Lonchura striata: one gene and its partners. The protein of the gene in region 1 purifies or fractionates together with the protein of each later gene. This does not show direct contact. Links are inferred from orthologs where the notes say so. Each region holds a gene or a part of one and is shown on either strand. Other genes may lie near its edges.

Evidence for each region.
Region 2: the proteins of FBXL4 (region 1) and BNIP3 purify together in Homo sapiens (affinity purification with western blotting; 4 studies listed by BioGRID, with this or other methods). This does not show direct contact. The link is inferred for Lonchura striata from reciprocal best matches to the Homo sapiens genes FBXL4 and BNIP3.
Region 3: the proteins of FBXL4 (region 1) and BNIP3L purify together in Homo sapiens (affinity purification with western blotting; 4 studies listed by BioGRID, with this or other methods). This does not show direct contact. The link is inferred for Lonchura striata from reciprocal best matches to the Homo sapiens genes FBXL4 and BNIP3L.

What each region holds. Positions count from the first base shown.
Region 1 is NC_134605.1:74,122,144-74,125,962, reverse strand, and holds the start of FBXL4 (F-box/LRR-repeat protein 4), read right to left. Parts: upstream 2,936-3,819; 5' UTR 2,859-2,935; intron 2,190-2,858; exon of another isoform or gene 1,325-2,189; intron 1-1,324. UniProt on the Homo sapiens protein: Substrate-recognition component of the mitochondria-localized SCF-FBXL4 ubiquitin E3 ligase complex that plays a role in the restriction of mitophagy by controlling the degradation of BNIP3 and NIX mitophagy receptors.
Region 2 is NC_134609.1:32,004,275-32,007,874, forward strand, and holds the start of BNIP3 (BCL2/adenovirus E1B 19 kDa protein-interacting protein 3), read right to left. Parts: upstream 2,353-3,600; 5' UTR 2,279-2,352; coding exon 2,242-2,278; intron 1-2,241. UniProt on the Homo sapiens protein: Apoptosis-inducing protein that can overcome BCL2 suppression. May play a role in repartitioning calcium between the two major intracellular calcium stores in association with BCL2.
Region 3 is NC_134634.1:2,421,237-2,425,055, forward strand, and holds the start of BNIP3L (BCL2/adenovirus E1B 19 kDa protein-interacting protein 3-like), read right to left. Parts: upstream 2,761-3,819; 5' UTR 2,619-2,760; coding exon 2,534-2,618; intron 1-2,533.

The DNA of each region.
Region 1 (3,819 bases):
GGACTCAATGATCCTGATGGGTCCCTTCCAACTCAGGATCTTCTATGATTCTACCTATTCATTTTGGTTAGTTTGTTTGGCAAATGCAACTCCTCAATACCCATAATGTTATCCCATACAAGCAGAAACAGGACTATTCACCAACCAGACTGCTGAGAAAAGGTGGGAAGTACACAGAAAAATACTTGAGATTTCAAAGGGCTGTGAAATGAAGATGTCTGAGAAAACGTAACAGATACTAGATTTAGGAAAAAAAAAAAAATGGTACATTTTATCCCTGAGCCATCCCTGGAAAAGCACATGATAGGGAAGAGTTTGTACTATTTCAAGAGAAGCAAATGTTGTACATGCTAGTCATGCATACACAAGATTTGATTTTTAAAGCCATAAGTAATAATTCTGTATAATAATGAAGTAATAATTCCTGTTTACACCAGCTTTGCTAATCTCACATTTGGGAGCAGTGAGCAGTTTTCCTTCATTTGACTATAGAAGAAACAGCAACATTGACAAATTACAAAGAATGTATAAATGACAAAAGCAAGGGCTTGTATGATCTCTGAAGATAGATTAATGCAATTTAATATGTGTCGCTTAGATAAGAGACAGTAAATGGGAAATCTCTTAATTATCTTTGTACACTAATGCACAGAGGGAATACTGGATCCTTACATTAGTCTAAAACAGAGTACTTTTACCACAGGTTAGCATCTCTTGCTGTTAATTACCTAGATTGTACCAACATCTAGACTCAACTTGTTGAAACTAGAAGCTATTATTAATTAAAAATTAATAAGCTATTACAGTATACTTTAAACTCAGGCCCCATTTGCTGTGTTTCTTCCCATAATATATTCTGGCACTAAAGCCATTTCACACACACTTCTAACTAATAATTTTACTGTTTGAAAAAAATTGGAATATATGGCAGTTTTATCTTGTGTTGCCTTCACAAGTACCAAAATATGCAAAACCCAAGAACTTCAGATCATTTCACTGACTGCATTCCTGCTAGGACCAGACTCATCATGCGGTTTAGCACTGAGATACAATGGAGACAAAAGTTCTTTGGTACCTATTCCACATTCAAAGTGGCCACCCTGTCTCTTATGGAGATGGCTTCCCCAGGTAACAGAAACTGCTCCTCAACATGAGTAAATTATCAGACAGCCCTTTCTATTAACAGCCTAAAGTTACCAGCATTCTACCACTTCATTCTGACCAACTACCCTTCCACCTGTGGTGAAACTCTTCTCTTAATGTAATTTTTTAAAAAATTAAAAATTTCCCACAGTACTTTTTAAAAGGAATTTGTGGTATTTGCCTTATTTGTCTTTTCACTTGTCTCTTGAGATATCACACTGCTCCTCCATGCAGGTATACTCTGTATAGCGTTTACTTGCTGGTCAGCTGCTTCCTCACTGCACGGCTGTAGTTGGTATCTGCCACTGTCACAGAATTACTGAATCAATTGGGTTGGAAAAGGCCTCTGAGATCACCAAGTTCAACTTATGACCTAAAAGCACCATGTCACCTAGACCACGGCACTAAGTGCCATGTTTACTTAAACACCTCCAAGGACAGTAACTCCACCACCTCCCTGGGCAACCCATTCCAGTGTCTAGTCACCCCTCCTGTGAAGAAATTCTTCCTCATGGCAAACCTAAATCTCTCCTTTCACAGCTTAAGACTGTGTTCCCTTGTCCTTATCATGTCCATTCACATCCAATCGATGTCCATTTTTCAGCCTGCACTGGTAGCAAATAACAATCCACAAGAAGCGAAGCACCCTAAAGTACACACCTAAAAAATAAAATAGTATCGCAACTTCGGCGCCTACTTTCTGTAGTGCTGTGATCGGGCAACTGGGTGAAACCGTGTACGTGCGGAACACCGCAGTGACCGAGCAGCGGCGGAGGACCCGCAGGGGAGAGGAGCACAACCCGTGCCCAGCCCTGCCCGCTTTGTCTGGTCCCAGCACTGTTCCTCCCCTCCTCCCTGCTCCATCCCACCCCTACCCCTTCCCACTCCTTCGGCAACCGCGCTCTCCACCGGCAGGGGCAGTTCCTTTCCCCGGGGAGCAGTTCCCCTCTCCAGGACGCAGCTCCCTTCCCCGGGGAGCAGTTCCCATCCCCGGGGAGCAGTTCCCTTCCCCGGAGAGCAATTTCCTTCCCCGGGGAGCAGCTCCCTTCCCCGGGGGGCAGTTCCCATCCCCGGGGAGCAGTTCCCTTCCCCGGGGGGCAGTTCCCTTCCCCGGGGGGCAGTTCCCTTCCCCGGGGGGCAGTTCCCATCCCCGGGGGGCAGTTCCTTTCCACGGGGGGCAGTTCCCATCCCCGGGGGGCAATTCCCATCCCCGGGGGGCAGTTCCCTTCCCCGGGGAACAGTTCCCTTCCCCGGGGGGCAGCTCCTTTCCCCGGGGAGCAGTTCCTTTCCCCGGGGGGCAGTTCCCTTCCCCGGGGGGCAGCTCCTTTCCCCGGGGAGCAGTTCCTTTCCCCGGGGAGCAGTTCCCTTCCCCGGGGGGCAGTTCCTTTCCCCGGGGGGCAGTTCCTTTCCCCGGGGGGCAGTTCCCTTCCCCGGGACGCAGCTCCCGCCGAGGCCTAGGCACAGCGGCGGGCAGACGCGAGCGGGGCAGCCCGGTGCCGCCGCTGCCTTCCGCGTCCCCTCCCCGACCGCGGCACCGGCCCTGCCAGGCCCGGCCCGGCCCGGCCCGGCCAGCGTGCCCTGGGTGGGCGGACGGGGAGCGCACGCCCGCGGCCGCCCGCTCCCGCCGCGCAGGGCCGGCCCCGCACCGGGGCTGCTGCAGGCCCGGCCCCGCGGCCCCCCCGCGCCCCCCGGCAGCGCCGCCGCCGCCACCCTACCCCGTCCGGAGGGCGGAGCCGCCCGGGCCGCCGGAGCCGCCGCCGCGCCGGGCGCCGCCGGAAGCGCCGCGCGGAGGGCGGCGGGGGCGGGAACGGGGGACGCGGCGGGGGCGGGGCCGCCGGCTGCGCCTGCCCGAGCCCCGGCGCGGGGCGGGCCCGCGGGGTCCCGCGGGTTCGCGGTGGGGTAGGAGAGTGCTGGGGTTCCGAGGGTTAGGAATCAAGCCCCAGCCCTACTGCCGTGGGTACGGACCCCCAGCAGTAGGCCAAAGCTCCATCCAGCCTGGCATTGAACAATTCAGGGATGGGGCATCCACAGCTTCTCTGGGCAACCTGTTCCAGTGTCTCACTGTCCTCACAGTTAAGAATTTCTTCCTGATGTCTAACATAAATTCTGCCTCTTTCGGTTTGTACCCATTACTCCGTGTCATGTCACAACAAGGACAGATGCAGAGTCACTCCAGCTTCCCTGTCGGCCCCTTCAGATACGGGAAGGTTGCCATGAGGTCTCCATGAAACCATCTGTTCTCCAGGCTGAACAGCCCCAATTTGCTCAGCATTGTTAGGGGGCATGCTCTAGTCTGGACTTGCTTCAAAACCTTCAGTCCTCCTTACGCTGGGCACACCATAACTATACACAGTACTACAGGTGGGATCTCAGCAGAGCAGAGGGGGGAAATCACCTCCCTAACCCTGCTGGCCACACTGCTTTTGATGCAGCCCAGGACTCCACTGATTTTTCTGGACTGTAAGTGCACACTGCTGGCTCGTGTTGAGTTTTTTCATCAGCCATCGCACCTAAGTCTTTCTCCACAGTGTGGCTCTCAAATCACTTCTCCGCCCAACATGTAGGTGTGCCCAGGATTGCCACAATCTGGGTGCAGGACCTCACACTTTGCTGTGTAGAACTTCATGAGGTTCACACCAGCCCACCTCTCAAGTGTGTCAGGGTCCCTCTGGAGGG
Region 2 (3,600 bases), on another chromosome or scaffold:
ACCCTGGAGCTCTCCCTGACCCCGGGACTGTCCCTGGGGCTCTCCCTGACCCCGGGACTCTCCCTGACCCTGGAGCTCTCCCTGACCCCGGGCTATCCAGAGTGACACTTCAGGGACACAGGCCAGCCCTGCCTCCCAGCTCATAAACAGCACGGAATGCAAAGTGCAGGCAGTCGAGCTGGGAAGGCTCACAGGGCTGGGAAGCAGCTGCTCACTAGTACATTGTGCTTCTCTCTGCACATACAGATCTTTTATTTTGGGATATGTTCAACTTTTATTGTTCAACATAGGTGGCAATCAAAATAATCTCAAGGACTTCTGCTGCCAAAGTTCAGTTATTCATTTATTGAAATTATTTTGGGCTCCAGAGCCCGGGGAGTGTTTAGTGCAGCCTTTTTTCAGTCCCATTTGTAGGTGCTGCTGTTAAGCAACTGCGGCTGTGTGGCAAGGGCTGTCATGGGTTTGCTCCTAGCAGTATATTTAACACGGTCACATGGGCTTTGTTTTCCTAAGGGAGCGAATAACAACTCCCTCCTGGGCAGGGACAGCTCACTGCAGGGCCTGGAGCTGCTCCCTCCCTATAGAATCCTGGAATGCTTTGGGTTGGAAGGGACCCCAAATCCACCCAGTGCCCCCTGCCATGGCAGGGACACCTCCCACTGTCCCAGCTGCTCCAGCCGCAGTGTCCAGCCTGGCCCTGGGCACTGCCAGGGATCCAGGGGCAGCCACAGCTGCTCTGGGAATTCCATCCTGTGCCAGGGCTGCCCACCCTGCCAGGGAACAATTCCCAATTCCCAATCTCCCATCCAGCCCTGCCCCTGGCAGTGGGAACCATTCCCTGTGTCCTGTCCCTCCAGCCCCCCAGAAATGTGCTCAGGGAACAGAAAACACCCAAGTTACACAAAAGCCAGAGGAACCCCACTATGGAACAGATGGGACCCAGCCCCAGCAGTGCACAGGGAACAGAGCAGCAGGACAGGAGCAGGAGGGCAGTGGGAATTCCCTGGATTCTGGGCAAGGATGTCTAAGGAATCAGCAGGGAAAGAGAGACAGTACAGTGGTGCTCAGGGAACAAAGGCACAGCAGGAACAGCTGGAGCTGCAGGTCCCTCCCCAGCTATCCAGCAGCACAGGGGTTTAGCGGGAAGCAGGAACATCCCACCAGCAAAGACATCCCAGATATCCTGTCTGGAAACTCCAAAATCCAAAGGCAACAGCACAAGGCCGAACTGCCTCATGTGCAGGAACAACCTGAGTATCTCCATCCTAAATACAGAGACCACCATCTGGACAGCCAAAGCACCACAAAACCTGCTGCATAAAAACATTCCAGGCCACCGAGTTTGGAAGAGACGCTGTTCTCCAAAACGCCTTTTCCTTTACAGCTGTTTGTTGTTGTTTGGGACTTTTCCCCTCCACGTGACAGTGCCTGGTATGTGGCAGGGAATCAGGGAATACGTTCAGCGCCAGGCAAACCCTTCCCTACCCTTCCCCGAAATTTATGGAAGCTCAGGTTGTTACCAAAGAACCATCACAACCAGAGCTCAAATTAAGGCTTTATCTGCCGAAATCGTACTGGGTACAGCGCTGGGAATGCAGGATAAAGCACGGAGAGGACTGGGATTGCTGCAGCAAGAGGACAGAAGATGGGGTTTACAATTTTCCCTTTTTTCCTTCTCCTGTTGGACACTCCTCAGAGGAAGGCTGTGCCGGAGCAGGAACAGGCTGTGATACGGCCATTTGAAGATAAAAGCAGCCGTGTTTTTATGGAAACAAACAGAGCGAAGGCCAGGAGAGGCGATGCATCCCGGGATGGACTCGGGACAGAGGAGTCTGTCACGATATCCCGGCCTAGGACACACATGCGAGCACAGACAGCGCTGGAAAGCTTCATTCCCTTAGGACACAGCTTGCAGCGCTGGGAAGGGAGCAGCAGAACGCCCGGAACGATGGGAACGGCCCTGAGAGCGCCAGCCCCGCACTCTGGCTGCGCTGGGCTTCTCCCTTCCCGGCGAGTCCGCGTTATCCCACACCTGATCCCCCGGGACACGGCGCGATGGACCCGCACGTCTGCCAACGCAACCGGCCAATATCGCGACACAGCGGTGCCCGCGGTGCCCGGGCGGTGCCCGCGGTGCCCGGGCGGTGCCCGCGGTGCCCGCGGTGCCCGGGCGGTGCCCGCGGTGCCCGGGCGGTGCCCGCGGTGCCCGCGGTGCCCGCGGCGCCGCCGCCCCGGCCTTACCCTGCAGGTTCTCCTCCTGAGGGCTCTGTCGCGACATGGCGGGCGGGCTGCCGGGCACGCACTGACCGCGCGCCGCCCGCGCCGCCGCTCACCGCCCCGCTGACGTCAGCGCCGCGCCGCCCGCCCATTGGCCAGCGCCGCGGGCGGGGCGGAGGCGGGGCGGGGCGGAGGCGTGGGGGGCGCGCGCTCCCTCAGCGCCCTCACCGCGGCCGCCATGATGGCGGGGAGGGAGCGGGCGCGGCGGGGAGACGGGAGAGCGGGGACGGCTCCCGCGGGATCCCTGCGAAACACCGCTCATAACCCCGCAGGATCCCTGCAAAGCATCCCTCATAGCTCCCGCAGGATCCCTGCGAAACATCCCTCATAGCCTCGCAGGATCCCTGCGAAACATCCCTCATAGCTCCCGCAGGATCCCTGCGAAACATCCCTTATAGCCTCGCAGGATCCCTGCGAAACACCCGTCATAGACTCTCAGGATCCCTGCGAAACATCCCTCATAGCCTCGCAGGATCCCTGCAAAGCATCCCTCACAGCCCGCGCAGGATCCCTGCAAAGCATCCCTCACAGCCCCCGCAGGATCCCTGCGAAACATCCCTCATAGCCTCGCAGGATCCCTGCGAAACACCCGTCATAGACTCTCAGGATCCCTGCGAAATATCCCTCATAGCCTCGCAGGATCCCTGCAAAGCATCCCTCATAGCTCCCGCAGGATCCCTGCGAAACATCCCTCATAGCCCCCCTAGGATAATCGTCATGATCCCCGCAGGATCCCCGCAGGACATCCCTCATAACCCCGCAGGATCCCTGCAGGACGCCCCTCACAGCCCCCGCAGGGCATCCCTCATAATCCCGCAGGACGCCCCTCACAGCCCCGCAGGATCCCCGCAGGATCCCCTCTCCTCCCGCTCCCTGAGCGCTCCGCACGTCCCGCCCGCCGCGGGGCTCCCGCACGGCGCTTCAGAGTAACACGGGGAACGCGGACACGGGGGGATTGCGAAGGATACACGGAGGGGCTTTCAAAGCATTCACAGAGGGATTTCACAGCAGACACGGAGGGGCTTTCAAAGGATTCACAGAGAGATTTCACAGCAGACACGGAGGGGCTTTCAAAGGATTCACAGAGGGATTTCACAGCAGACACGGAGGGGCTTTCAAAGGATTCACAGAGGGATTTCACAGCAGACACTGAAGGGCTTTCAAAGCAGACACGTCCACCTGTAAAATCACAGCTTGCGGCCGCTAAGCCAGCCCTGACAGTGAATGATACATGGCCTTAAAATAGGTAATAATCACAGCGTGGTTGGGTCGGAAGGGACCCGCAAGCATCATCGAGTCTGACTCTTAGCCCTGCACAGAACA
Region 3 (3,819 bases), on another chromosome or scaffold:
CGGGCACTCACAACTGCTTTGGGACAGGGAGCAGGGAACACCACCGGCTTCAAAGGCTCATGAGAGGGACATAAATCTCTGTTTCTTAAAAGAAATGGACAGGAATGCCCCAATAACAGAGAATGGGGTTTGCCCCAAGCTTTTTTGTACATTAATCACCTGCTTGAGAATTTTTAATTTCACCGTATTTCTACTTGATGCTAAAATAGGAAATGTGGCAGAATGGAGTGGTAGAATTAAGAGCAATAGAATTAAGAAATGTGGCAGCATCTCCTCCCTTCACAAATCATGTAACACACACTCTTTGGAGGAAAAAAAAAACAAACTGTTCACATTGATGGTATTTTTCTCCAAAATTGAATGTTGGCTTTGCTCTATGGCTAATTATTCCACTATTAATTTATATACATTGACTTTAATTCTACATTTTTCCATAATTTGGTGGACTGTTTAAATAGCAGGAGTTAAACATGTTGGGGAAGACTGGTCTCATTTTATTTATTCCCCCTGATTTCAGCTTGGTGCATGAAGTGGAAATATCAAAGGTAATATATAAATTAAATACCTGTATACATTTTATAGACATAAAAATTCTCCAAGCTACTACCAACTCAGTAGCTTACAAGTAGTTTGAGACATGATCAACCTGAATAAAGGAATAAATATCATGTCTACAATGAAGTACAACTTTAACCAAAAAGGGAAAAAAAAAAAAGGAAAGAAAAAGAAAGGCAACCAGACTCCCACAATGCTAATTATTAAGCGGATTTTCCATGACAGCGCTAGACGGGCTCTTGCCTAAGGTGGGATTTCTTTTAGTCAATATGTAACAGAGCTTTATAATAATTAAAATAGAGGAAGCATCTAGAATTCCCAAAGCAAGCAACTTGTGTTTTTTATCTCTATGAACCCAACAAAGCACAGGTTACCAGTTTTATTCTCAGCTCTTCTGCCCTCCAAGTGCTAAGGGATCTTTGAATAAAAGGCCCTAAACACACACAAATGAAACACAGAACACCATGAATAGGTGTCTCAGCTTATTGGCCTGAAAGGTTCACTGAAAAGCTGAGAGAATGGCAGAAATGCACCTCTCCCAGCAAAGCATTGTGCAAGGGCTGAACATCTGAAAGCAGCACTGCTAACTGGGTGCATTTGTTTTGTTGCTAGAGCACAGAGTGTCAAACATTTCCTCTCCTACCTTGTGCTCAGCTCCTCCAGCAATCACTGAGCTGGGTGAGCCTCTACCTGCTGCCCCAGCAGCAAGATCTCCACGGGCAGATCCATCCCTGGCTTACAGAGCTCTCAGCTCTTGTTGCTCCTATAATCCAGCAGACTAATGAGTCCCACAGAATTGCCACATCACCAGAAATTAAAAATGTAAAATATACAGGCATCAAATATGGTCATTTCTGAAGTAAGCATTGACTCAGGCACCTGGCACGTCGCAACTTGGACAGCCTAATAGTTATTTAAGTATAACAGGCCTGAATAATTTGCCAAGATTATTGACTCAGGTGACATTGTTTAAGGTGCCACGGTTATCACACGATGCAGTGTTACCACAACACAATAGCAGCATTATGAAATGGGCACAGTTTATTCTTTCTTTCATACGATTTCTATTGAGTTATGGAAAAGAAACCAACGAGTTTATTTTGCGGTCAGCTAAACTGCATCGTAAACCGCGGAGGTTACAGTTAATCATTAATGCAATTTATTCACCTTTTTTATCCTTAAAATTTAGACATGAAAAGACACAGCGAAGGAGCTGTTAAGGAAGGGAAAGCACTTGCCAAGTACCAGAGCCTACATGATGTGCCTTACTAGTGTTACCCCAGGAACAAAATGCAGCTGATGCAGCTGACAGAGATGCCGGATATAGAGGGAAATTAGCTCACGTCAGTGCTATTGACTCAGCCGCTGAATAAACTCATTCCCACAGCCACGCTCCTCCCCCTACCCCGTTGTATCCCCATCGTCGCCGCTCGGGTAAACTCCGCGTAACCACGCAACGAGCCCGGGCCGCTCCTCGGGGGATCGCCCTCAGCCCCCGGCGAGAGGAGACGGGGCGGGTCCCGCCGGGGGCAGCGCTCCCACCGCGCCCGGAGTATCCACGGCGGATCCCCTCGGCTCTCCCGGCCGCGCTCCCGCTGCCCGGGGCCGAGGGGCTGCCGGGTTGCTCGGCGCTGCTCGGCGCTGCTCGGCGCTGCACGCCGGCCCGGTGCCGGCCCGGTGCCGGCCCGGTGCCGGCCCGGTGCCGGCCCGGTGCCGGCCCGGTGCCGGCCCGGTGCCGGCCCGGTGCCGGCCCGGTGCCGGCCCGGTGCCGGCCCGGTGCCGGCCCGGTGCCGGCCCGCCCCTCACGACCCCCGCCGCTGCTCCTCTGCCCCCCGCGGCCGCCGCCGGGCCATTTATACCCGCTCGGCCCCGGCCATTGGCCCCCGGCGGCTCGCGCGGCGCGCCGTACGCCAATGGCGGCCCGAGCGGGTCGCGGCCCTCACGTCCCCTCCAGGGCCCCCCGCGGCCCCGCACTCACTGTTGAGGCCGGGCTCGCCGTGCGTCCCGTCCGCCGGCGGGTTGTTGTTGTTGTTGTGCTGCGGCTGCTCCTGAGGGCTGGACATGGCGGCGGCGCGGCTAAAGGAGGACTGAGGAGCCGCTGGGGCAAAAAAAAAACAAACAAACAAACAAAAAACAACAAACCCGGACTCCGTTCCGGGCCCGGCCGCCCCGCCCCGCCCCGCCGGGCTGCGCAGGCGCGGCGCGCGCCGCTCCCGCCCTCCGCCTCCATGGCGCGGGCCGGGGGCGCGCACGTCCCGCGCGTGCGCAGCGCGGGCGCTGAGGGGGCGGCGGCGGTGAGGGGAAAGCTCTGCCGGGCCCCAGCCCGAAACCAACGCGGATCGTGCCCTTATTAATTGTGAAAAGTGCGTGATTTGTGATTGGCTTTTGGCAAATGATACAATGAATGTTATATGCGTGATGTTAGAAAGTTAGGCTGTGCTGATTCTCTTAAGTAGTGTGTTAAATACAGTTTTAGGTTACAACATAGAAACTCTGCGATGGGGGATTTGTTACAAGCTCAAGGAGGGAGATGAGATAATCAAGAAAGTCTTCGCACAGAGATGGCAGCGAAGGGGCACATAAAAAGTTACGGCCTCCTCATCAGAAAAGACAAACATTCTTCCACCTTCTCTCCGTCTTTTTGGAACCAGCAAGATTAAGGAGAAGAAGTTGACAAAACCCAGAAAAGTTCTTAATTTGCAAGGAATTTATATATTCATGAGATATATGAATATGCAACAGGCTGTTGCTTTTAAGGTTATTCCTTTGTTCACAAGGGATGCTTTTCGTGACTCAGTGTCTGAGAGCATCCGTGAAGCGAACAGGGTTTATTAATGCCTTTATTCATGTTCAGCTCTTTATTAAAAAGATCAGCTCGGCCCCGCTGTTGTGGCTTTTTGCAGGTAGCCGAAGGGGAGAAGGTGGCCGGGTCTGTCCCTGGAGTCTCCGTGGCACACTGGAGGTGCAGAGGTGTGCAGTTCCCTCTCCTTCCCTCCTGGAAACACCAGGAAAAGCTGCCTCGCTGTTCCTGCTTCCCACAGCCCTGTCCAGTCTGTCTACAGGTGGAGGGGCTGCAGAAACATTTGAGATTGAAATCAGAACAAGGAGCTACTTGTGATTTTGAATAAAAAACCCGGCCCAGGTAAGCCAATCCTACTCTGCAACCCTCAAATCACAGGCTAACATGAGCATTTGTCACCCTCATTCAGGAAGCATTTGCCACAACACTTGTGGCATTAATATTTATCAGTCAAGTGGGACTAT